Cricetulus griseus: one gene and its partners. The protein of the gene in region 2 purifies or fractionates together with the protein of the main gene of each other region. This does not show direct contact. Links are inferred from orthologs where the notes say so. Each region holds a gene or a part of one and is shown on either strand. Other genes may lie near its edges. The genes, in order: Zzz3, Tada3, ubiquitin carboxyl-terminal hydrolase 22 and Supt20h.

What was found.
Region 1: the proteins of Tada3 (region 2) and Zzz3 purify together in Homo sapiens (affinity purification with mass spectrometry; 4 studies listed by BioGRID and IntAct, counting the BioPlex papers as one, with this or other methods). This does not show direct contact. The link is inferred for Cricetulus griseus from reciprocal best matches to the Homo sapiens genes TADA3 and ZZZ3.
Region 3: the proteins of Tada3 (region 2) and ubiquitin carboxyl-terminal hydrolase 22 purify together in Homo sapiens (affinity purification with mass spectrometry; 5 studies listed by BioGRID and IntAct, with this or other methods). This does not show direct contact. The link is inferred for Cricetulus griseus from reciprocal best matches to the Homo sapiens genes TADA3 and USP22.
Region 4: the proteins of Tada3 (region 2) and Supt20h purify together in Homo sapiens (affinity purification with mass spectrometry; 3 studies listed by BioGRID and IntAct, counting the BioPlex papers as one, with this or other methods). This does not show direct contact. The link is inferred for Cricetulus griseus from reciprocal best matches to the Homo sapiens genes TADA3 and SUPT20H.

What each region holds. Positions count from the first base shown.
Region 1 is NW_023276806.1:6,887,687-6,893,149, reverse strand, and holds part of Zzz3 (ZZ-type zinc finger-containing protein 3), read left to right. Parts: intron 1-159; coding exon 160-231; intron 232-1,037; coding exon 1,038-1,139; intron 1,140-1,721; coding exon 1,722-1,817; intron 1,818-3,856; coding exon 3,857-4,009; intron 4,010-5,463.
Region 2 is NC_048601.1:31,420,383-31,426,612, reverse strand, and holds the start of Tada3 (transcriptional adapter 3), read right to left. Parts: upstream 3,524-6,230; 5' UTR 3,386-3,523; exon of another isoform or gene 3,086-3,385; 5' UTR 3,028-3,085; exon of another isoform or gene 1,992-3,027; 5' UTR 1,966-1,991; coding exon 1,759-1,965; exon of another isoform or gene 1,733-1,758; intron 789-1,732; coding exon 538-788; intron 410-537; coding exon 304-409; intron 1-303. Other genes in the region: Arpc4 (actin-related protein 2/3 complex subunit 4), read left to right, coding at 5,682-5,687. UniProt on the Homo sapiens protein: Functions as a component of the PCAF complex. The PCAF complex is capable of efficiently acetylating histones in a nucleosomal context. The PCAF complex could be considered as the human version of the yeast SAGA complex.
Region 3 is NC_048600.1:75,154,271-75,159,733, forward strand, and holds part of ubiquitin carboxyl-terminal hydrolase 22, read right to left. Parts: intron 5,190-5,463; coding exon 5,057-5,189; intron 3,508-5,056; coding exon 3,394-3,507; intron 229-3,393; coding exon 127-228; intron 1-126. UniProt on the Homo sapiens protein: Deubiquitinase that plays a role in several cellular processes including transcriptional regulation, cell cycle progression or innate immunity.
Region 4 is NW_023276806.1:96,587,121-96,592,583, reverse strand, and holds part of Supt20h (transcription factor SPT20 homolog), read left to right. Parts: intron 1-1,451; coding exon 1,452-1,568; intron 1,569-1,678; coding exon 1,679-1,732; intron 1,733-3,010; coding exon 3,011-3,150; intron 3,151-3,720; coding exon 3,721-3,877; intron 3,878-3,964; coding exon 3,965-4,021; intron 4,022-5,111; coding exon 5,112-5,183; intron 5,184-5,463. UniProt on the Homo sapiens protein: Required for MAP kinase p38 (MAPK11, MAPK12, MAPK13 and/or MAPK14) activation during gastrulation.

The DNA of each region.
Region 1 (5,463 bases), on a different chromosome or scaffold from region 2:
AAATGAAATATAAGAATATAAAAAAAATTAATCAGTAAATAGGTGGTATATGTGTTAAAAATACGCAAAGATATTTTGGAAATTGTGAAACATTCCTTGTGTGTTCTTTAGCTATATCCTTGCTGTTTTCCATTTATAAAAGCCTTCTTTTATATGCAGATGATAAGAGGTCGCCTGTGTGATGACACCAAACCTGAAACATTCAACCAGCTGTGGACTGTTGAAGAACAGGTAAATACATACGTCTAGCTTGTTTGGGTTTAATGACAATCTGAACTGTTAATAGTAAAATTAGCACTGCCAGGCAAGTGTTTACTGTTGCATTGTAATTCCTTTTAATCATGAGTTTAAAATGTGTAGAGTTACTTTTCTATCCCTTTTGCATAGTTTGAGAGTTTTGGATTTTGAAGATGCATGAACTATTTTTAGGATTAATTCTTAGAGAGAAACCCTGGGTTTGGGAAAACCCTCAGGACATGCAGAGCCCCTTCAAGTTGCATTTTAATTTCTGTTGTCTCAGATTGCCTGTGCTAAGGGCTGGTGTTGCCCAGCTGTAGTGAAGTGTGACCTTGATGTTGTGTATTTAGTTAGGTTGTGTATGGAGTGTTAGAAGCTGAGTACCAGGATCCAGTCAGATGCTTGGCTGACAGATGACACAAGAGGGAACACTCTGACATGGCTCCTCTGTGCATTCTGGCCCAAAGACAGTTGGGGAGCCTCGTTCACTCAGATGTGTGCAGCCCGACGTGACGTGTTGTTTCTCTTCTGCTCTCTTGTGCTATAGTCACTAAATAAAGTGAATACAGATCCTCCACGGGGCTTTACTAGGTGTCGTCGTGGATCTCATCTTGCCTGTGGCATCTTATGTCCCTGACTGGAACTCTTTTCTACTTTGAGAATCTAATGATGGGACCTCCAGAGCTGGGAAAGCAGCACTGTACTTTGAATAAAATGTGAATGTGTCTTTTTAGAAGTCCAGTGTTTTAAATGGAAAAATACATTTTTTCACTTAAAACTTGGTCTTGGGTTTGATGCAGAAAAAACTTGAAGAGCTCCTCCTGAAATACCCTCCTGAGGAAGTAGAGTCTCGGCGGTGGCAGAAGATTGCAGATGAGCTGGGCAACCGGACAGCCAAACAGGTGATGGGAAGGCTGTGGGCTGTGCGTGCAGACCTGGCAGACAGTTCTGCAGCCATGCTGGCACAGCTGCTGCCCTTGCTAGCTCTAGTGTGTGATGGTTTTAAATGATTAGCATTGCTTGTTTCTATGTTGATTGCAGAAACAACATAAGTAAACCTGTTCTGCATCAATGCAAAACATTAAAAAAATATATATATATACAGTGGACCTTGTATCTCTTGAGTGTAAGCCTAGTGAGTGTGCTGCGGTGTCATTTTGATTAGACTGTGCTGGTGGGTTTTGTGCATGGCATTAATGTAATCCTGGTTGTCTTCTGAACATGGACACGGCAGCTTCCTTCCTCGCGCTCATCTGCATTACTGGTGATGGCTTCCTGCTGTACTCACCCATGTTCACCAGTGACAGTAAGGGTTTAGCTTCGAAATCACACAAACTTAAATTTACTTGAAATGACTCTGTCAAGATTTTAAAATACAGATGTCTTTGATGATCACTTAAAGGTTATTTCTCGATTTAGTCATCACCATTTAAAACTTTGCTGATATATCATTTCGTTGTATTTAAGAACTGTTGTTTCCTTAGGTGGCCAGCCGTGTACAGAAGTACTTCATAAAGCTAACTAAAGCTGGCATTCCAGTTCCAGGCCGAACACCTAACTTATATATGTACTCTAAAAAGGTAAGGAGGGACTGTTGTGGAGGTGTGAGTTTGCTAGGCTGCGCTCCTCTTCTTTTTGACATTCCACTACCTTGGGTATAAAGGCAGAATAAGATTCCCTTTGTTGCTACCTAGAAAAATATGCTAAGTTTTAACAGTTCTTCATTATTTTCCTGTAAGTAATATGAATGAGTACTACTTAAAGGGTTTTTGTACCAATTCTTTGGGAATGTCTTTGTGATGTTAAATTTTGTAAGGTATGGACTGTGAAATGTAGGCTTGCTCTCTTCCTGCTCTCCTGCATAGACTGGAAATGTTCCTGAAACCCTTAGCCCGCCCTCACTGTGGTTCTAGAGTTGTAAGTAGTGTTCGCCCTTCCACTTTATGGTGGCACAGTAGACCAGAATAACATATAAACACCATCTTGCCACAAACTAGTTAAGCGGAGAACCATTGTTTTTGAGACAATCTCCCTAGGTAGTCCTAGCTGACCTAGAACTTGCTGTGTACATCAAGGCTTGTGTTGGTCCTCACACCTCTGCTGGGATTGCAGATGAATGCTGCTGTGTTGCTTTCATGTTAGTCCCAAGCGGCCTTTTTGCCCCCTCACCCTGCTTCAGGGTACTAGGCACTAACCTAGGTCCTCAGCATGCAAGGCAGGGAGTGTGCCATGGAGTTAGGCCATCAGTCCTCTCTATTGCAGTCCCATTGCTTCCCCGCTGCCCTCTAGTCAGAGAAGCTCTCTGGGATGCACAGAGCACTGCATTAGCAGTGTGCAGCCAACTAGGAGAGATAGAGGCTGCTTCTGTTGGCTTGGCAACTCCTTATGATCTCGTCCTTCTGCCACGCCCCCTCTTCACATAAAGGAAGCTGCTATGACCTTCCTGGTGGGTGCTGGTTTATATGATTTCATGTTACAATAAGGAGATTGTTTATATAGTTGACATCTTTGAGTTCTTAGAGATTCATTTTACTTTTTAAATTACATGTCTATGAATGGGTGTGTATATGAATACTGGTACCCACAGAGGCCAGAGCATTGATTTCCCCCAGAGCTGGCGTGTTAGGAGGTTGTGAGCAACCTTCAGGGGTTCTGGGAATCAAACTCTAATGTTCTGCAAGGACAGTAAGTACCCTAACACCTGAACCATCTCTCCAGCTCCATGGGTTTTTGGAATTATGTTTAATCAAGCGTTTCAAGATCATTTTAGTTTGTTAATTGTTTTAAGTACTTGGAATGCTGGAGCCTGGCATACCCCTCCCCTCCTGTGGTTCAAACCCAAGACTTTATTTATGCTAGGCAAATGCTCAGCCATTGAGGAATATCCCCAAACCCTTAGTTAATTTTTCTAAATTAATTTTATTAAATGTTTCTTTATACCTTGTGTTTTTACAAACAAGAGTGAGTAATATCAGAAAGGAACACTGGCAAAGCCTGAAAGAGTGAATAATATCAGAAAGGAACACTGGCAAAGCCTGAATCTGTTCATTCTGTAGAGTAGTCTCTTGGAAGGTCATTGACATCATGGCTGTGGAGTAGTGGTGCAACCATCGTCATAATGTTCCTGACCATGGCGACCGCTTGGACTTTGCATGGGTGGAATGGAGGGACTCCAGTGGTTCCTCTTTATGACGGTGGTATAGACTGGTCTGCATAGTGGTTGGTAGCGAAGGCTGTGCCGCCACACAGATCTCCTCCCAGTTCTGCCCTAGCCTGAAACCCACCTCATGCGGGGGTCTCTGCATCTCTGAATAGCTACTGTGTAGGCGTGTGGTGAGGCTAAGTGAGACTGTTAGAAAGCAAGCAGTGACTTGCTGTTAGGTGATTGTTTTGGACACTCAAATGTTATGGCATAAAAAACCTTCTCTTTTTTACTGGGCAGTTATTTATCTGACTTAGGCCATTTTATTCTCTGATTTTCAGTAGAAGTTGATCATGAGAGTTGAGTGCAGCCAGTATTGAGTTCCTGTAACTGGTGGGTGGGTGTGCACGTTTTTGTCCTTTTGATTCTGTTCATGGTTTCCCACTGTTCCAATAAGACATCTTTTTTCTCACGCAGTCTTCAGCAAGCAGACGGCAGCACCCTCTCAATAAGCACCTCTTCAAACCCTCCACTTTCATGACTTCCCATGAGCCGCCAGTGTATATGGATGAAGACGATGACCGCTCCTGTTTTCATGGCCACACAAGCCCTGCTGTGGAGGAGGCGTCGGTAAGTTGCTGCCTGTTTTTATAGGGAACACGCGTTTTTGATTATTCCTTCTCTTCAGGGAATGTACCCTGATGTACCCCCTTTTAACCAACAAGTCAGATTTAAAGTTCTATGCATTGTTTTCCGTGAAGAAAATTCAGTATATAGCTAAGTAGTGAGAACAGCACACTGGACCCATATCCCGCCCCTCAGCTTCAATAATTGTCACCTGGCAGTTAGTCTGCTTGCCTGTCTTCCTCCTCAGTCTCACTTCAGATGGTTTTGGAAGGAGATAGTTCCAGACAGCAAGCTCAGCTTTCTGAGGAGTGACTCTTCATGTAATGGAGTGTCTGGTTACCTTGGTCATGCCACCAAGTGTGTGCACACACGTGCTCAGGGCGCTGTGCACATCAGGCAAGCACTGTACCCCTGAGCTGGACTCACTAATTTGGGGTGCTTTTTACTTTGTTTGGAGCCAAAGAGTGGCGATAAATTGGGGGTAGGGATGAAAAACCCTCCTTTGACTTTCCTCAGCCTTAACTGCTTGCACTGAAACCTGGTTTGTTTGTCCATGGATTTGCTGCCGTGGTGTGGATTGTATCAGCTGTATCCATTTGTGCCATCTCATTTTTTCTTTGTCCTGAATTTCCTGTGAAATGACTGATTCCTTGCTTGAAGAATGTATCCTGACACTCTGATTGCATAGAATCAGAACAGGAGATTTTAATGGAGAGTTAGCCATACTCTCCATTTTGTCTCTTAAGTAACCAATAGTGGTTGTATTGTGGAGTTGTGTTTCCCTTTAAACTTGTCCTCTAGAAATGCTCATGCTGGGTCTTGAGACAGGGCTTTTATCTGCGAGTTTGTTCATTTGATTGTTGGAATGATTTGTTTGAGGAATTATTTACCCAAACATGTTATGTAACAGGCTGTGCTCGGAGCTGTGAACATACGTATGTCTTTGTTCTCCTATATCTTGGACGGGTCAGCTTCAGGGTTGGAGGAATTGTTACTGTATTTGACTCCTTATGCTTCAGAGTTTCATGAGACCCTTGAAGTATTTATGTAGTTCACACTGTTTTCTAAATAACCCATGTAATTCCCTTCATCCCCTTGAGTGAAAACTGTACTGTTTTGGCCAGTCATTACAAATACAGAGTGTTAAAGAAGGGCAGAGATTGCTTTGCTTATTTAAAAAAAAAAAAAAAAAAGATAACATGTTTACAGAGGTGAGCGTGAAAAGTGTTAGACCAGAAAAAAAGAAATGACTCCGGAACAGGGCGGGGCACACATGAGGCTTCTGAAGTCATTCTGGTGACATTAGAAGTTGAGTGACCACATGTCCTCACGTTGTGAGGCAGTGTAGGTCATCCTTAGAGCAGCATTTAAAGTCCCAGAACACTGGAGACATGGGCATTGTGTTGGTCATGGGCATGCACGAGCATGAAGACCGACCGGGATTCGGATCCCTACAG
Region 2 (6,230 bases):
ACTTTTATATATTAAGTACAGAAAGAAATCGGTTGCTGAAGTCTAAAAGCAAGGAGCATGTTCAGAGGCTCTTAGGATAAAGGCAAGCGGACAGGATGAACTTCACTGACAGACAGACGCACCACTTGGCTGAGGTGGGGGTAGCAAGGGAAAGCTGAACCTCAGTGTCTGCAGGGGTAATGCAGCAGGCAGGAGGCTGGGAAGGAAGGAAGTAGATGATGTGGACTTTGCTGCCTAGGATTCCGAGGCACCTCTGAGCCCTCCTGTTCTATAACTCAGGGTTCTATGGCTCAGGGTTTCTACCTTATAATGTTCGGCTTCATCTTCAGGAGGTTTCAGGAGCTCCTCTAGTGTTCGTACCTCCTCACTGGTGATATCCGCACAGTAGGGCTCCACAGAGGCCCAGAACCTGCAGGGAGAAGCAGACCCTGAGTGGGCACCTCTGGGCTCCTTCAGCCTTAGCCCTGGGTCTTCTAAGACCACACCACCAGTCCCTAAGCCCCCTCTAGCTCTGTTCTATGTGTTCAGGCTCAAAACCTGTTGGGAGCGTCATTCTTGGGGATCCGAGGCACGTCAATTGGGTCATCAGTGAATTCATATTCCTGGATCTTTGGCTGAACGTTTTTGGATTTGGGTCGTCCTGGGCCAGGGCCTGGTCCATGCCCTGCCTTCCCTTCCAGTTTCTGCTTCTTGGGCTTCCCATGTTTGGGGGGAGCACCAAGTTCATGGTCTCGACCCAGCTTCAGGAATCGTCGGTCACCTTTCTTATCCTGCCAGTCAGTAAGGATCTGAAACACACAAAGGCAGTCACTGAGAAGGAGAGAAGAGACAAGCTCCTCTTCCCCACTTGGATGACTTGAGATCTCCAATTGGAGGCTATTAAGTAAAGCACTTATCCAGTTCTTTCTCTGTGACTTTTCTCACATGCATCGAACCAGAGGTCTACATCTCATTCTCCTCTGTTACCCAAGCTAGCCACAGACTGTTTGGTAGAAAGGTTAAAAAAAAATAAAGCTGGCCGGGCGTTGGTGGCACATGCCTTTAATCCCAGCACTTGGGAGGCAGAGGCAGGCAGATCTCCGTGAGTTGGAGGCCAGCCTGGTCTCCAGAGTGAGTGCCAGGATAGGCTCCAAAGCTGCACAGAGAAACCCTGTCTCGAAAAACAAAACAAAATAAATAAATAAATAAATAAAGCTGGGCAGTGGTGGTGGTGCACACCTTTAATCCCATTACTCAGAAGGCAGAGACAGGTGGATCTCTCAAAGTTCAAGGCCATCCTGGTCTACAGAGAAATTCCAGGACAGGCTCCAAAGCTACACAGAGAAACCTTGTCTCAAAAAAAAACAAAACAAATTTTAAAAAGGTTATGCCCCAGAGCATAGCAGCAGTCCTGGGAAATATGCTGCTGGTGGTGGGTTTTTTGGTGATGGCCAACAAGACTCCCAGCTAACCTTCATTTCAATCATCAACCCTCCTGGGAGCCCTGTCTACACAAACAACTGACTGTGTCACAGTATATCTCAGAAAGCTCCCAGGGAATTCCAGGGACTACAAGGGGACAGAATCCATCTTCTGAAGTCTAGTAGGATGGCATCCCTGGCGTTGGGACCTAACTCTGCTGTCACAATTCCCATTTGGGTCTCTCTTCCCATCCATATCCTCAACATATAGTGTCAATGTTAGGTCATTAACCTAATGAGCCATCCCATAACTTGACACAATCTTTCTCTAGTGATGTCCCCTCTGTTGGAGAATCACCTGGGTTTCAGCTTCCAGTACACGCAGCCGCCTGCTTGCAGAGGACAGCAAGGTCTCAAGCTCCAGCTGCAGAGTGTCCAGCTCCTCAATACCAATGCCATCATCCTCGGAGCGGGCCAGTACTGCCGTGTACCGGGGACAGACCTTCAGGTGGTCCACAGACTTGAAATCATGGAATTGCAATGGGCAGTCCTTCAGTTCACTCATGGCTCAGGAGATGGGATTCTGTAAAACTAGAGAGAAGGCCATTGGATGGGAGACAAAGTAGCATGGAAGAGAGGTCCAACAAAGAAACCAGGATTCAATACCTTTATAGATACGGATGGTGGCAACGTTCCTGTTCATAGAGCCCTGATTGTACAGAGGGGGGCTTACTTCACTGAATTATACACACAACCTTGGGGGATGGGCTTTATTCATGCTTTCCTTTCTTCCTTTGATGAAAAAGGAAACAGACTCCTAAGTGCAATTCATTGTCTTTTTTGTTTTGGTAGCACTTAAGACTGAACCTGAGTCTCACACATGCTGTTATCTTCAGGTTTTTTTTTGTTTTTTTGTTTTTTTTTGAGACAAAGTCTCACTATGTGGTCTTGGCTGGCCTGGTACTCATTATACTTGCCTCTACATCCCAGAGTGCTGGGATAAAGGTGTATACCACCACACCTGACTTCCCATCCTCAAACTTGCTAAGTAACCGAATATTTGTTTTCACCTCCCACGTGATGGGATTCCAGGCATGTAACCACACCTGGCTTATTCAGTGCATGTAGGCACATAGTCTCCAAACAGCTACATTCAGCCCCCTTTCATCAATTTTTTATTGAGACAGGTTCTCACTCAGTTGTCCAGACAGGCCTTGCTTGCACTTATGATCCACCTGCTTCAGCCTCCCTAGTAACTAGGTTTACAAACCTGCATGATTAATTCGAACCCAAGAAGTCTCAAACCTGCACTACAAGAGAGATACCAGTGTGCCCTGTCTTCCTATGCCCTCTGTTGGGCTCTTTCAAGCATTCTATCTTACAGGGTTCACCCAGCCTCTCCTCATTCCACTTTTGTACCTCTCTGCGTCCCTAGCTAGTTTGGAACACGAGCTGGTCAAGCAGACAGAACTAAGTTCCAGCCCATTATGTGCCCCTCTAAACATGTTATTTAACCTGAATCTTAGTTTCTTTTCTTTTTTTTTTTCCAGGACAAGAGATGATGCCTCGGTCCGTTTCCCCATTAAAAAGTATCAATCTGTAAAATGGGGGCATCAAGAGTACCTACCTCCCTGGAATGTTCTGAGGATTAAGAGGTGATGCTTCTCAGGTGCCCAGTTCAGTGCCTGGCACAGAAGTGGGACTGCTTAATGGCTGGCTCCACCTGTGTGTCGCCCCAAGATCCCGCCTCCAGGGTCCTCGTCCTCTAGGGAGCCCCTAACACAGCTCCCGCCTCTCCTACCTCCTCTCTGCGGCCTCCTACAGGCCCCGGGCCGCAGGAGGGGGCGGGGAGTCCAGTGCTCTCAAGCAACCGCCCCGGAACTGGCTATGGGCGGGCCCGGCCCCCTGCAGTTGACGCGAGGGCGGGGACACAGCCAGCCCACGGTGGCCTCCGGGGGGTGGGGGGTCTAAGGCCACCTACGAACCTCCGACAGGTGGAATGCTAGGCCTGAGGTGTCCCCTAGGAAGCAGCCCGGGGCGAGGGCGGGGCTCAGAGCCCAGATCTCCAGGGACCCACTTGCTCGGCCAAGCCCCAGGGCTCCCGGTAGGAGGAGCCCGGGCGGAGAAGGGAGCACCACCGGAAGAAACGTCGGGCTTCTCCGGCTCTGCCTGTCCTAATTTGGTGCCCAACCTGAGGTCGGGCTGTACTATTGTTACATGGGGGGAAGTTACAACAGAGGCGACAAGAACCAAAGGCGCTGGGAAGAGATGTATGGAGACCCAAGGGGCTTCGAGTGCTACTGTGTCATCCCAGGCCTCCTACAAGTCCCTACGGTCCCAGTGTGAGATCGTCCAGGGGATCCGAACGTCGCTCGGAACTTCCTCCCCGGTCCTGCTCGAGATGGTCCCCCCCGGAAGTGCTGGCGGAGACTGCGGCTGCGCCTCGCGAAAGGGCAGGCGTCGCGGGGCCGGGCACTTCCGCACTTCCGCTTTCCGGCCCCGCGACAGCACCCGAGATGGTGAGAGACCCCGGGCTCGGGGGACTCCCTGTGTCTTGCTAGGAGAGGCTGTGGGGTCTGGGGGAGATGCTGTTTGCCGCCTGAGCTTGCGGCCGGAGGTTGCCCTAGGATGAGGGGGCACGATGAGGATGGGGAGGCAGAGGGTGGGGCGAGGGCAAATGCGAGGAGGAAGGAGCGAGCTGGGAGGTGAGCTGGGCAGGAGCAGGCCCGGATGCTTCCAAGTTGGGCATCCCCGGAAGGAATGTTCTCTCGCCAGAGTTCGGAGGAGGCGGGAAGTGGGGCTGCTAGGTCTGTGGTGGCGGCTGCAAGGTAGGACCACTGAGGAATGAAGCAGGGCCTCCTCTTCATCCACGGTAGAGATTCGCTAAGTGCACCCCCTTGTCCCCGCCTGTCTTCTCGATCTCACGGTACCCCAAGGCAAGTGTCCACTCCTCCTTATTACTCTCGATCCCTTCCACCCCTTGCTTCCAGGCCTCAATGAAGGTTCTGTGGTGTTGCCTCCATTCAGGCTCCTTCCTCGTAGTGCGGTACGGTGTTGACCTTAATGTGTGTAAGCGCTGATGACCGCTGGCCCTTCCCTTCCAGGTTTTTTCGGGTTTGGTGTCTGTGGGTGTTCCGTACTGTTGCATCTCTCTTCCTACTGCTTTCCCCGGTCATGCTGGCTTTGATGACCTCAGTTCTAAATGCCGGACTGCTTGCCATGCTCCTGTGACTCGACTCTGGAGAGACACCTTGAAATTAGACCCTCTTGTTCAAAAGTCACATGCTTTTTCTAAACTTGTTCATTCTCCTGCGTTCCATGCCCTAACTGGTTTCATTCCTCAGCCTGAAAGCCGTATCCCTTTGACTGAGGATGTAGCTTTTCATTTTTAAGCATTTAAGTTTTTTTGCACTTGAGATCCTTCTATTCACTAAAGGGCAGACATCACAGGACTAGCCACCTAGAATTCACTTTTAGTTTTCTTACTTTGACTATTAACAAAATAATCAGATAACCATTACTTCAATGAAGGTAGAGAACATTCTATCACTCTTCCAAGGGTACACTCTACCCCAGACAACTACTAATTTCACCCTTCCGGTTTTGCCTTTTTTTGGTTAACATATAAATAGAATTCTCTAGTGTGTAGAGAAAACATAATGCACCGGGCTACGTGCAAACTTAGTTGTGTTTTTAGCCTTTCCCTCCTCTGTCTAACGTCTGGCTGTCCCCTGTGATGCTGTGCTTTCTCCACTCCAGTCTGTACTCAGTGCCTCTTCTGAGTCTCACTTCCCTCCATTCCATTCTCCAGAGAGCCTCTGCTGAAGTCATGTAACTTCCTCCTCAGAAAGTCCCAATGCTTCCTGCCACATTGAGAGAAAGGCTAACTCAGTGAACTGGCATTCTAGATTGTCTAGGGTTTTTATCCCAGCCTGCCATTGCAGCCTGGTCTATGCAGTTTAAAATGCTTCTCGCGGTTCATTTGTTCACTCTACAGGAAATTTGTAAAATGCTATGTATAGGAAGTACTGAGCTAGTTGCAACCAGCATAACTGAATAAAGTTAATGTGTGTTGACCATGAGAATTACAAGCTAGTGAAGGAGAACCAATTTAAGAAAATACATGAAGAATGTCTTGTTGTGAATTATGGTAAAGTGTACATATCATAAACTCTGGTAAATGCACTGAGGAGGAAGTCAAGAAGACCACTTTGAGGAAGGAAGAGGCCTTTTCAGTGAGCTGAGCTCTGACGGACTGACCTAAGCAATGAGGAGGAAAGAATGCAGGTGATGGCCAGCATGTGATAGGCCCTGAGGGGAGACAGAGATAACTTGAGAAATAATGTAGCTGATCATTAAGCTGACCTTGTCTGCTACAGAGAATGTCCCAGGTCTACTTTTTCTCATTGTAAACCCTTCGAAGGCCGGGCGTTAATGGCGCACGCCTTTAATCCCAGCACTCGGGAGGCAGAGGCAGGCGGATCTCTGTGAGTTCGAGGCTAGCCTGGTCTCCAGAGCGAGTGCCAGGATAGGCTCCAAAGCTACACAGAGAAACCCTGTCTCACAAAACAAAACAAACACCTTCCTGATCTTGTGTCTAGTCCATACTAATTTCCGTAGTATGGATTATTTATAAACCTAGTTAATTTTACATTTTGCCTTCCATTAGTCCTTGTGATCTCATCCAGTTGAGTTATTTGAGAGCAGAAGTTATCTGACTGAATTCCCAGTGTGCTCAGGGCATGGATCAATACATTTGTCCATGTAGGAAGCAGGTGGAGGGCGTGGACCCATCTAGATCAGTATCACCCAGCCTCATCACTGTGGCTT
Region 3 (5,463 bases), on a different chromosome or scaffold from region 2:
CAGCAGCTTAAGAGCTGAGTGTTGAACAAACCCAGGAAGGCACTCAGGCAAACCCAGGTTGAACCCTGTACTAAGAAATGCAAGGTTTTCTATCTATCTGACACTCTGCATGCCCCCCTCACCCACCTATGGTACAGTTGGAGGTGATCTTCCGCCTCTTAGGGTTGTGCTTCAGCAGTTCCAGCTCCCGCTTGGTTGGTTCCCAAGTCGAAAACTTCTCTCCAACACCTAAGTAGATGGAAAACAGTCTCAGGCACTGTTAGCTAAGTTCTCTTGTAAATAAAAGCTGTGATGACTTGACCTACACTGAGCTCCATTCAGAGAGGGAACCTTCTTCTAACACCCCGCTGTGCTGAGAGGTGCCAGATCACAACAGGAGTTTCCCTCAGTGAATGTCTATGATCACACCATGTTTATTGAGTCAAGGAAAGTAACATGACCAACCCATCAAAATGCCAGACACTAGTGTTTCTCAAATGCCTTGGATACTGAGGTTCAGATATGGTAGCATCAGCTCCAATGGGGACAACCTGACTGACAACTCATGAATCTTTCTGAAAATGAGACTGCCAGAGAAAATGTACTTTTGAGTCTGGCGTGCAGCTTAGTAGTAAAGCACTCACCTACAATATGTTTGGCCCATGTTTGATCCCCAGGACTGGCAAAGAAAGAGAAAATGCACTTTCTTTGTTTTGTTTGTTGTCAGAGTTAGGGTCTCACTGTGTTGCTCTAGCTGGCTTGGAACTTGCTATGTAGACTGGACTGGCCTCAAACTCAAAAGATCAGCCTGCCCATCTCCCAAGTGCCAGGACCGTGAAACCATGCACCACAGCCTGCTGAAAATGCACTTTTGATCTGCTTGCTGAAAGACTGGAACCCATGACAATGATACCCACTAGGTACTGCACTCTCACACACCCCACTCAGAGAGACTTTTCCTACACGACTTAAAATTTCCAATTCAATAAACTTTAATAGTATATCACTTGGCCAGATGGAATCAGAATGAGTTTTGCCTTCTTCCTGATCCAGGCACGGCCCCTTAGGAGTCACAGTCACAGGGGCATTGAGGTACCTGGCCAGACTAATGTCACTGGGAATGAAGAAATGCTGGAGGGGCTTGGTCCATTAAACCAGATGCCAATCTGCACAAGTGCAGCACTGGCTGGCTCTCCTTTGCTCCTTGTGTCTCACTGTCTCATCAAGTTCTACCCTTACCACACCTCAAGGAGGTGCAGGCTCACTGTGCCTGACCTTCTGTGTTAAGGACATTATAGAGAGAAAATGTAAAATGCTTCTACATCATATATATTAAAAGTCATTTCATTGGGGCTGGAGTGATGGCTTGGGGGTTAAGAACACTGAGTGTTCTTCCAGAAGACCCAGGCTCAACTCCCAGTACCCACCTGGAGGCTACCAACCAAGTGTAACTTCAGGTGCCCTTCTCTGGTCTCCTTGGGTACCAGGCATGCAAGTGGTACCCAGACAAACATGCAGGCAAGATGCCAATACACATAAATTACAATAAAATATTTAAGGGGGGCTGGAGACTTGGCTCAGTGGTTAAGAGCTCGAACTGCTCTTTCAGAGGATCAGGGTTCAATTCATAGCAACCACATGGGGTTTGCAACCACCTGGGGGGGCAGAGGCAGTCCAATCCTAGGGGCTTACTAATACGACAGTCTCTTTGAAATGCTGAGTTCCATGTTCAGTAAGAGACCCTGTCTCTAAATATAAGATAAGAGAGCAACTGATGTTGACATGAGGGTGTTCACACCACTACAAACTGGCATGTACACAAACAAAATTTAAAACTCCTTTCCTTATAATATTTTCACTATGGGTTTTGTTTCCAGGAGTACCGTGTATACACTTGTTAACTACGAGATTTTATAAGGCTGCAAAATCATGGCAGTAGCTAGGGGGTTGTGGCACACACCTTTAATCCCAGCACTTGGGAGGCAGAGACAGGTGGATCTCTGAGTTCAGGGCCAGCCTGATCTACAAAGTAAGTTCCAGGACACCCAGGGCTGTTATACAGAGAAATCTTGTACCAAAAACAAAACAAAAAATTCATGGAAATAATATTTGCTAAAGATCTTTGTGTAACACTTATTATAAAACTTTTTTTTTTAATAATGAATTAATAGAAGATGCCAACCTCTGCAAACAAAAAAAACATTCAGGAACTGGGTAGCTTCCATACAGATAACAAACTGAAGGATTATCTTACTATATTAAACTTTGCCAAGAAGAGACATAATATTTTGTATCTAAGGAGTAACTGTTACCATATGCTTTTGTTAAGTGCTTGAAGCTTAAAAACCGCCTTTTACTAGATAAAATGTTAATTTAGAAAATAAAGTTACAAGACTGACAGTGTGTGTGTGAGGGGGACTTCTGCATGGTTTCTGGGCTTTGCTTACCTGGAATACACATTTTGTGAATGCTGGGACAGGCTGTTTTTGCTATACATAGGGAAATCTTAAAAAAGAGAACAAAATTTCTAATGGTATTGTCTCCATGATGCATCTAACTCCACTGCCAAGAGTAGCTCATATCATTTAGGCATAGGCATTGTGGTGGCTTGAAAAATGGCCCCCAAAGGGAGTGGCACCATTAGGAGGTGTGGCCTTGGTGGAGTAGGTATAGTCTTGTTGGAGAAAGTGTGTCACTGTGGAGGCAGGCTTTGAGGCCACATATATGCTTTAGCCAAGCTCAATGAGACAGACCACTTTCTGTTGCCTGCACAAAATGTAGAACTCTCAGTTACCTCTCCTGTACCACATCTGCCTGCATGCTGTCCTGTCCTGCAATGATGCTAATGAACTGAACCTCTGAAACTGTAAGCTGCCACCACCATGAAATGTTTTTCTTTATTAGGGTTGTCATGGTCATGGTGTCTCTTCACAGCAATAGAAACCCTAACTAAGGTCTATTTCAACAGTTTTTGTTTCTTCCTTTTCTGTAGTAGTAGGGTTCAAGCCCTATGCCTTGTATATAGTAGGAAACGGTTCTACCTCTGAGCCAGACACTTGGTCCAATATTTAAGGAATTTCCACACTAGTCCAGCAAGAGGCAATACAACATCTCAATCTGCCAGGGCTAGGAACTGAGTAAGAAAAGGGAGAAACTGTACTGTCTAACAGACCTTCTGCAGGGAGGATGGACACAGCCTGGGGTATTGCCGTGGAAGAGCCACCCATCCTCTCCTAAGCACCAAAACCCATTCCATTAAATCTACACGCTTCCTGCATTAGTTTCATCGTTTCTGTGAGCTATGGGACTGACCCAGGAAAAGTAGGACTTGTTTTTTTCTCTCCTACCCAGACTGAGCCAGCTTCCTTGACTATTTTTTGGTCACCTAACCTTCTCTAAGCACTGTGAACGCACCTTGCAACTTCCATGCCTTTCGCTGTTCCTCTTTGGCAATGATTTCTATGTCCTTGTCATAGATGTAGTCCTGACACAAGAAGCAGTATATCCCTCCATACATCAGGTCAATAGCTGCAGACAGAAAGGAGGGAAGAGAACAAAATTAAATCTAGCATGGTGAGTTAGTGCTTCAAGCAGCTGAACATGAGCCAAGTATTCTAGACACCAGCTGCCCAGAGCATTTTCCTCTATGAGCTGCAGGAAGTCCAACTGCAAGGGTTTATCCAAGGTGGGTGAGTATGTCTGCTGTTTCCAGAAGTTTCCCGGAGGGATGAGCAAGAATGAGAGGCACACATCTGTGGCTTGCAAAGTACTGATGCAAGGATCAGGGTGCTCTGCTTCAGCTGTGCAAGCACAACACTCAAAACTAGGGCAAAACTTCACGGAGTATTTATTTTAGGTCCACAAGAGTTCTCAGCGACCTGACTGGGGAATGAGACTTTGCTACATCCTCGATGGCTGGCAGTCTTGTAAGGGAGACTAACAGCTATTTGCTGCTTCCTCTATCTTGACTCTGTGTTGTTCTTTTTCCAGGGACAGGTGAAACAGGTTCCACTCAGAAACCTTACTTCACAGCACAGAAACTGAACTTTTATCTGTGCCAGATGCTACTTCAAAATTAGGGACTGGGATTGCTGGGTGACAGAGATTCCAGGTGTCACTTTCTGAGCTGTTGCCAGACTCTGAAGCAGGTATACCACTGAAACAATTGTTTTCTGATCACAATGGAATTAACTCTACAATAGCAGGGGAAAGAAAAAACAAAACAGAAATCTCAGAAGATGGGACAGAAACCACCCCAAATGAATCTAAGGAGAAATCTTAGGAAAACTAGAAACTATTTCAAGAAAAATGAAAATAAACCTGTTGGGCATGATGGCCACAACTTTAGTCCCAGCACTCAGGAGACAGTGGCAGGTGGATCTCTGAATTTGAGGCCAGCCTGGTCTACAAAGTTAAGTTCCAAGACAGCCTTGTTTCAAAAAGGAAAAAAAAGAAAGACAAAAAAACCTATCACACTAAACCTTAGGGACTTGGGGAAGGAGGTGGACACGATGCTAAGATGGAAACTGGTGGCTGTACATGCTAACATTAACCAATATTAAGCCAAGCATGATCATGCATGCCTACAATCCTAGCAAGCTGAAGGCTGATAAAGGAGGATCCCATGTCTGAGGCTATCCTGGGCTATATAACAAGACAGTTTAAAAGAATAAAGCAAGTGCCTATATGGTAGACATAGCCTATAATGCTAGCACTGGGGAGGTAGAAGCAGGAAAATCAGAAGTTCAATTCAAGGTTATCTTTGGCTGCATGGCAATTTCACAGCATGAGACTGCCAACAACAACACACAAACACACATGCACAACTACTTCACACACACATGCACAACTACTTCAAACTCTTGATGTTATATGATGCTTAGCTAGCCTTTCATGAACCCGCATTACTGAAAACCAGGAAAACCCATTGCTAAAAGGGTTTAAAAGGCCTCAAAGCAAATGGTAACACCACTTGAGAGTTCAGTTTCACAAGGAGGCTTTCATCACAGTGGGCTTTTAGGGAGGATAATGTGCTAACTGAGCCAACGCCTGCCCCTGCTGCAGGAGGGTGTCTTACCCAGGTTGTGCCGCTTTGACTTTGCATGGTCATGGATGTGTTTCTTTGTGAAACAGCCAAAGAAGACACAGTAGAGGCAAGAGTGCAGCCGGTTCAGGTGGATGCCGCAGACATGGCAGACACAGGACTTTGCCTGAAATGTAGATAAGGAGTTATGAGCAGTGTGGATGCAACAGGAGTTCCCAAGGGGAAACACGGAGTCCAAGTAGAGGATCACAACTGGGACCCTGGCAGGAAGAAGCACAGGAGGTTTCTTCTGAGTCTTTACACTGTAACACATCACTTCATTCTTCCCATTTTCCCAAAGCACTTACTTTAGCTCAAAACCAAATCAACAAGAGAACAGCTATGGTGATGCCATCATTTTCTCACCCCCAGCACTGAATTTTCAGGCACCCCAGGCAAAT
Region 4 (5,463 bases), on a different chromosome or scaffold from region 2:
ACAACCATAAGCCCCCACTAGATACAGAATTTAAACATGCTGTGTTCTCAGCTTGAAAACCTCTTAAGACCTCCCTGTTTTTTTCAGCTATTGATTTAGAGTTCTTCTCACTACAAAGGCACTCAAAAACTTGTCTATAAACTTTTTATCACACTCTTTCTTCACTCATCTAGCCAGCCTTGTAACAAGCATTTCTTAGATGATTTTGTCAAGTCACTGATCTCATGGCATGGCATTATTAGTCACTTTTCTGTTTGAATCTGAATTGTTCTATGCAGTGTAGCTGGGCTTAATGATACATGCTTTTCATCCTAGCATCGGGGAGAGTCAGAAGTTCAAGGCTATCTTCAGCTTCATGTTGATTTGATAGCTAAAGTAAATCCAAAATGGTTACAGAGAGAGCAGTTGCATAGGTATCATTGTTGGGTGACATTGGATACATGAAGATTTCCAATAGCCAGATGTTTATATGAATTGATTAAAAGATGGTTGCTTTCATTAATCCCAACTAGAGAAACAGGTAATTGTTGTCCTTTGGTAGCAAATCATGTGATATGTACAGCTGTAAGGGTGGTAGCAATTAGTATAATTCGGAAAGTGTAGATTATTAGTATACTAAGTTCCCAGTTGTTAACAACAAAGTATAAAAAGTACAGCTTTGGCCAAATGTAATATTTTAAATATTTATTGTTAAGACTGTGATTAATATCCTATTCATAAGTATTATTGTTTAAAGAAAGCATGCACATAAGGAAGGAAGCTAAGTAGGGTTCATATGATAATTCTAGACTAGCTGTTAGTATTAGCTTGGTTGACTTAAGATAAAGACTACTATGGTTATAGAAGTATCGATTGTATTTATCAATTTGTATTTGAGCACAAATAACTAACGGTATAAAGTGCCTGAACATACTGTGAGGGAGTAGGTAAGTTGTAGTGAACTGAGTGCTAAGGTTTCTTAAACATGCAATACAACATAGTTGTGAGTTAAATTCATGGTTAGTTCCTTCTTGTTCATACAGTCTAAAAAGTCTAGAAATTTCAGGAAAGCAAATATGGAAGTTATATCTAGAAGCTGAAATTGTGGCACAGTTAGTGTATTGCAATGACAAATTATATAACAATTATGATACTAGCTAAATGAAATAATGAGCCAGTGAGCTTCAGAAGAACCTCCATCTGAAGGAACTCCAGAAATTTCCCCATAGATGAATGCCAAAGTTATCCTGGATATCATTAGATGCAATGTCAGTCTACTATTAACAGTTTTAAATTGCTTTTTATAATGATGAACATAAAAATAATCATCTCTAGTAGTTTATATAGTAGTGTATCCACCAAAGATATCTATTGAAAGTATAGAGTTTAAAGACTGAAACATTCAGTATAAGCTTGCTTATTTTGGCTTTTGAAAAATGACATTTACCTGAATGTTTTTTTACTTAAAACAGGTTAATATTTTTCATTGTGGATGTGTGATAGCAGAAATACGTGACTATAGGCAATCCAGTAACATGAAGTCTCCTGGTTACCAAAGTAGGCACATTCTCTTACGTCCAACAATGCAGGTATGGAATGTCTAGTTAGGAAGTACTGTTTTTTGTTTTAGTTTGGATTTTATTAGATGTTCATATATGTATATGAAAATACATGTTTTAAAATGTTTTGTTTCTTCTAGACTTTAGTCTGTGATGTTCATTCTATAACAAGTGACAACCATAAATGGACCCAGGTTAGTTCTCTCTCTAATCTCATGTAGACCACACACAGAGTGAAGCATTAGTGAGAGGCTTACTTTTACTCACATTTGATTGTGTGTTGGGTTGGACGTTTGGACAAACCCAAGATTCCCTTATGAGCTTTGGGATTTTAAAATCTGTACATTTAGAAATCCCTCAAGGAACTGCTTATAATCCAGTCCCAAATTGCTTCCAGTCTTGTTGCTAAACTAGGGTTAAGTTAATTTATAAAGCCTAACATGAAAATTGGTTGTTTTGTTTTTATTTTAGATTTTTGTTTTTGTTCTTGTTACTTTTTTTTATTAATTTTTTTTATTTTTTTTTAAGACAGGTTTTCTTTATATGACAGTCCTGGCTGTCTTGGAACTCCCTCTATTAGGTCAGGCTTGGCCCCTAACTCACAGAGATCCTCCTGCCTCTGTCTCCCAAGTGTTGGGATTAAAGGCGTGTGCCACCATCGTCCGACTCATCCTATCCAACAAAATCTTTATTCTTACCATTGAATGCATATAGATTGTGATTTTTCTTCCATCCAGGATTCTAAAATTCTAAAAGAAGCCTATTTTTTCTTCTTCTGCCGCCCTTCCTTCCTTTCTCCCTTTTTCTTTTTGGAGTAAGATCTCTAGCACAGGCTGGCTTGGAACTTGAGATTCTGCTGCCTCTCCCTCTTGAATTCTGAGAGTAAAGACCTGTATCATCACACCTGGTCTAACAGGATTTCTTAGCAATGACAACAGCTAATTAATTGATCCTCTAGTTCTGGCTCTTTTTTATCTATTACTGTGGAGAGAAAATTTCAGTAATGAAATAGCCCTCTATGAAATAAGCTTGTGAACTAAGATTCAGCTTATCCAAAACTAGTAAATGATGAGCTTTAGTCTGGGCTGTTGTTTTCCCATCTATAAAAAGGTCAAAAGTTCTTCACATCAGAGACAGAGTTGCAGTCAGTGCTGGAGAGCAGTAAAGCATCAGTTTCTTAAGCTGAGAACTGGTAAACAAAGGAAAAATTTATTCCACCATTTCCAAACAAACTATTTTAGACAGCCAAATAAATATTCACTCTCTGAATTTTACTCTTTTATACAATATACAAAAAACTGAATTTCCATCAGAAGTTTATCTTGTGGGTTTACACAGTAATGTTCAAACTTGAGTTACTACAGTTACTTTAGTCTTAAGCAAACTTCTTGGGAATATTTCTGGCTTAAATGATGTATGTTTACATTATGAAAAATATATCTGAATCTGACATATACTCCTGTGTATTTCAGGAAGACAAACTTTTGCTTGAGAGCCAACTGATTCTAGCTACAGCAGAACCACTGTGTCTTGACCCATCTGTGGCAGTAGCTTGTACTGCAAATAGGCTGCTCTATAACCGGCAAAAGATGAACACTCGCCCAATGAAACGGTAATTTCCGGCACTTGTGTAACACAGGCTCTTAAGTGTTGCTAGCCACAGTGCCCTTTCCCTCAGCATGGCAGTGCTGGACTTTTTACATTTGAAAATGGGATTTTTAATGGCCTTGTATTGTGATTTTGTGTGGTAGGATTTTTAAAAAATATTCCCTGCATTATTGTAAAGTGGTATTCTCTGCAGTCTTTTAAAGAAGGAACTTCAGTAAGTTTATGGTCTGTGAGGCTGAAAAAAGACCAGATAGGAACAGAAGGATGGTAGCTTCATTACTTCACAACACTAATTGGAAACATCTAACAAGGAAATAGTATGTAACTTACAAATTTTGAGCCATACAGTCAGAGTTTTAGGGGTTAATTTATAAGGGCTCTCTTTCCATTTCGGGATTTGAATCAGCTTGGCTACATGGTCATGAGTATTTGGTCTCCTTTTTGTTTTACTTGTACCTAAAGCTTGCTGATGTGAGAGTGTTGGATAGGCATTTGCAATTTAATCTATAATTAATATGCTGCTTCTTTTCCATATAGATTGAGTTGTTGCTTTGTGTATTCCAATGTCTGTTAGGTGTTTGAAGAGGTATTCCAGGTCCTCCCTGAACCGGCAGCAGGACCTGTCTCATTGTCCTCCTCCCCCTCAGCTGAGATTACTTGATTTCTTACAAAAACGGAAGGAAAGGAAAGCAGGTCAGCATTATGACCTCAAAATTTCTAAAGCAGGAAATGTAAGTCGTTCTTCAGGAGCTTACTATTCTGACAGGCTAACTTTGTTTTAAGTTTTTGGTGTAATTGTACTGCCTTTAACTTTTCAGTGTGTGGACATGTGGAAACGGAGCCCCTGTAACCTGGCTGTGCCTTCTGAAGTAGATGTAAGTTCATGAAATGCTGCTCTCTAGCACAGGGTCAAAGTTCATCATTAGGAAGCTAATGCTGTGAGAAAACAAAAGAAAGAAAGCCAAAATCCTTCCTTTTTAACAAACCAAGTTCTCGTTTTAAGAAGCTATGTATTTACATCAGTCATGTAAGTTTCGTGTGTTGTGTTTTTAAACCTGGGTCTTGCTGTGTAGCCCAGGGTGTTCACATCTTGGGGTAATCCTCCTCTCTCACTCAGTTTCCAAAGTCAAGAGATTCTGAGAATGGACCACCAATCCAGCCTTAGTTACATAATAGCATAGCTTGAAGGAGTTCTCAGTTAGGAGCAGGAATAATAATAAGGTTTCAAAATGTGGAAAGGGTGTGATATTTTTTATATAATGTAAAAGAAATAAACTTATTATGTTTATATACTCAAAATTGGCAGACTTTAAAGATTAGTAATATTAGAGCCATGACCCAAAATAGGAATTCCCAGCACTATTCAAATTCTAAGTGATCACGGGGATGTTAATGAAGGACAATATTTTATTTCATTTCTTGTGTCTCTCAGAGTCAATTGTATTATTTACTCAGTTATCACATATGTATATGTGTGTGTGTGGTGTGTGTGTATATACAATAACGTGTGGAAGATGAGAGTTGATTCTTTGCTTCTACCACATTGTTCCTAAGCATCAAACAACTCAGGTCTTCAGTTTCAGTGGAAAGTACTTTTATCTGCTAAGCCATCTCACCAGCCCTTACTCAATTCATTATGATCCTTATTTCAGAATTACTTCATTATTTCAATAATGCTTTTGTGTTATTGTCCTAACAATTAAAATACAAAGCCAAAGGCATTAATAGCCTATGTATATAAACCAAGCAAGCCATATTGTCTTCTTGTTTCATATATGGCCCTCAGGCAGCTAGTGCTCTTAACTACTTTATCATCTGCAGTTCCACATCAGGAGGGTTTTAAAGTTATTAAATACAAGTGCTTGGTGATACTGGTAGTTGAAACCTTATATTCACACTGGTCTTGTTGAATTTTTCAGGTTCTTCTCTTTGTTCCAATACTGATTCCATGTCTTTACCATTTAGGTGGAGAAATATGCTAAAGTAGAAAAATCCATCAAATCTGATGACTCTCAACCAACAGTCTGGCCAGCTCATGTAAGTAATCAGTGCTAGTCCTTCTCATTAATAATGCAGTTTGCTTGGGTATTTTTGTTGTTGTTTTGAGACAGTATCTCTTTTGGCACAGACTGGCCTCAAATTTGCAATGTAGCCAAGGCTGACCTTGAATATACCAATCTGCCTTTACTGCCCAAGTGTCAGGTGTCTCCCCACCATATTTGGCTAGCAATGTTTATAAACTGGGTTCTGAATTTATTAAATAGAAAATTACTTGTAATGCATAATTTTTTAAGTACATTTGGAGCTCTTGTGCTCC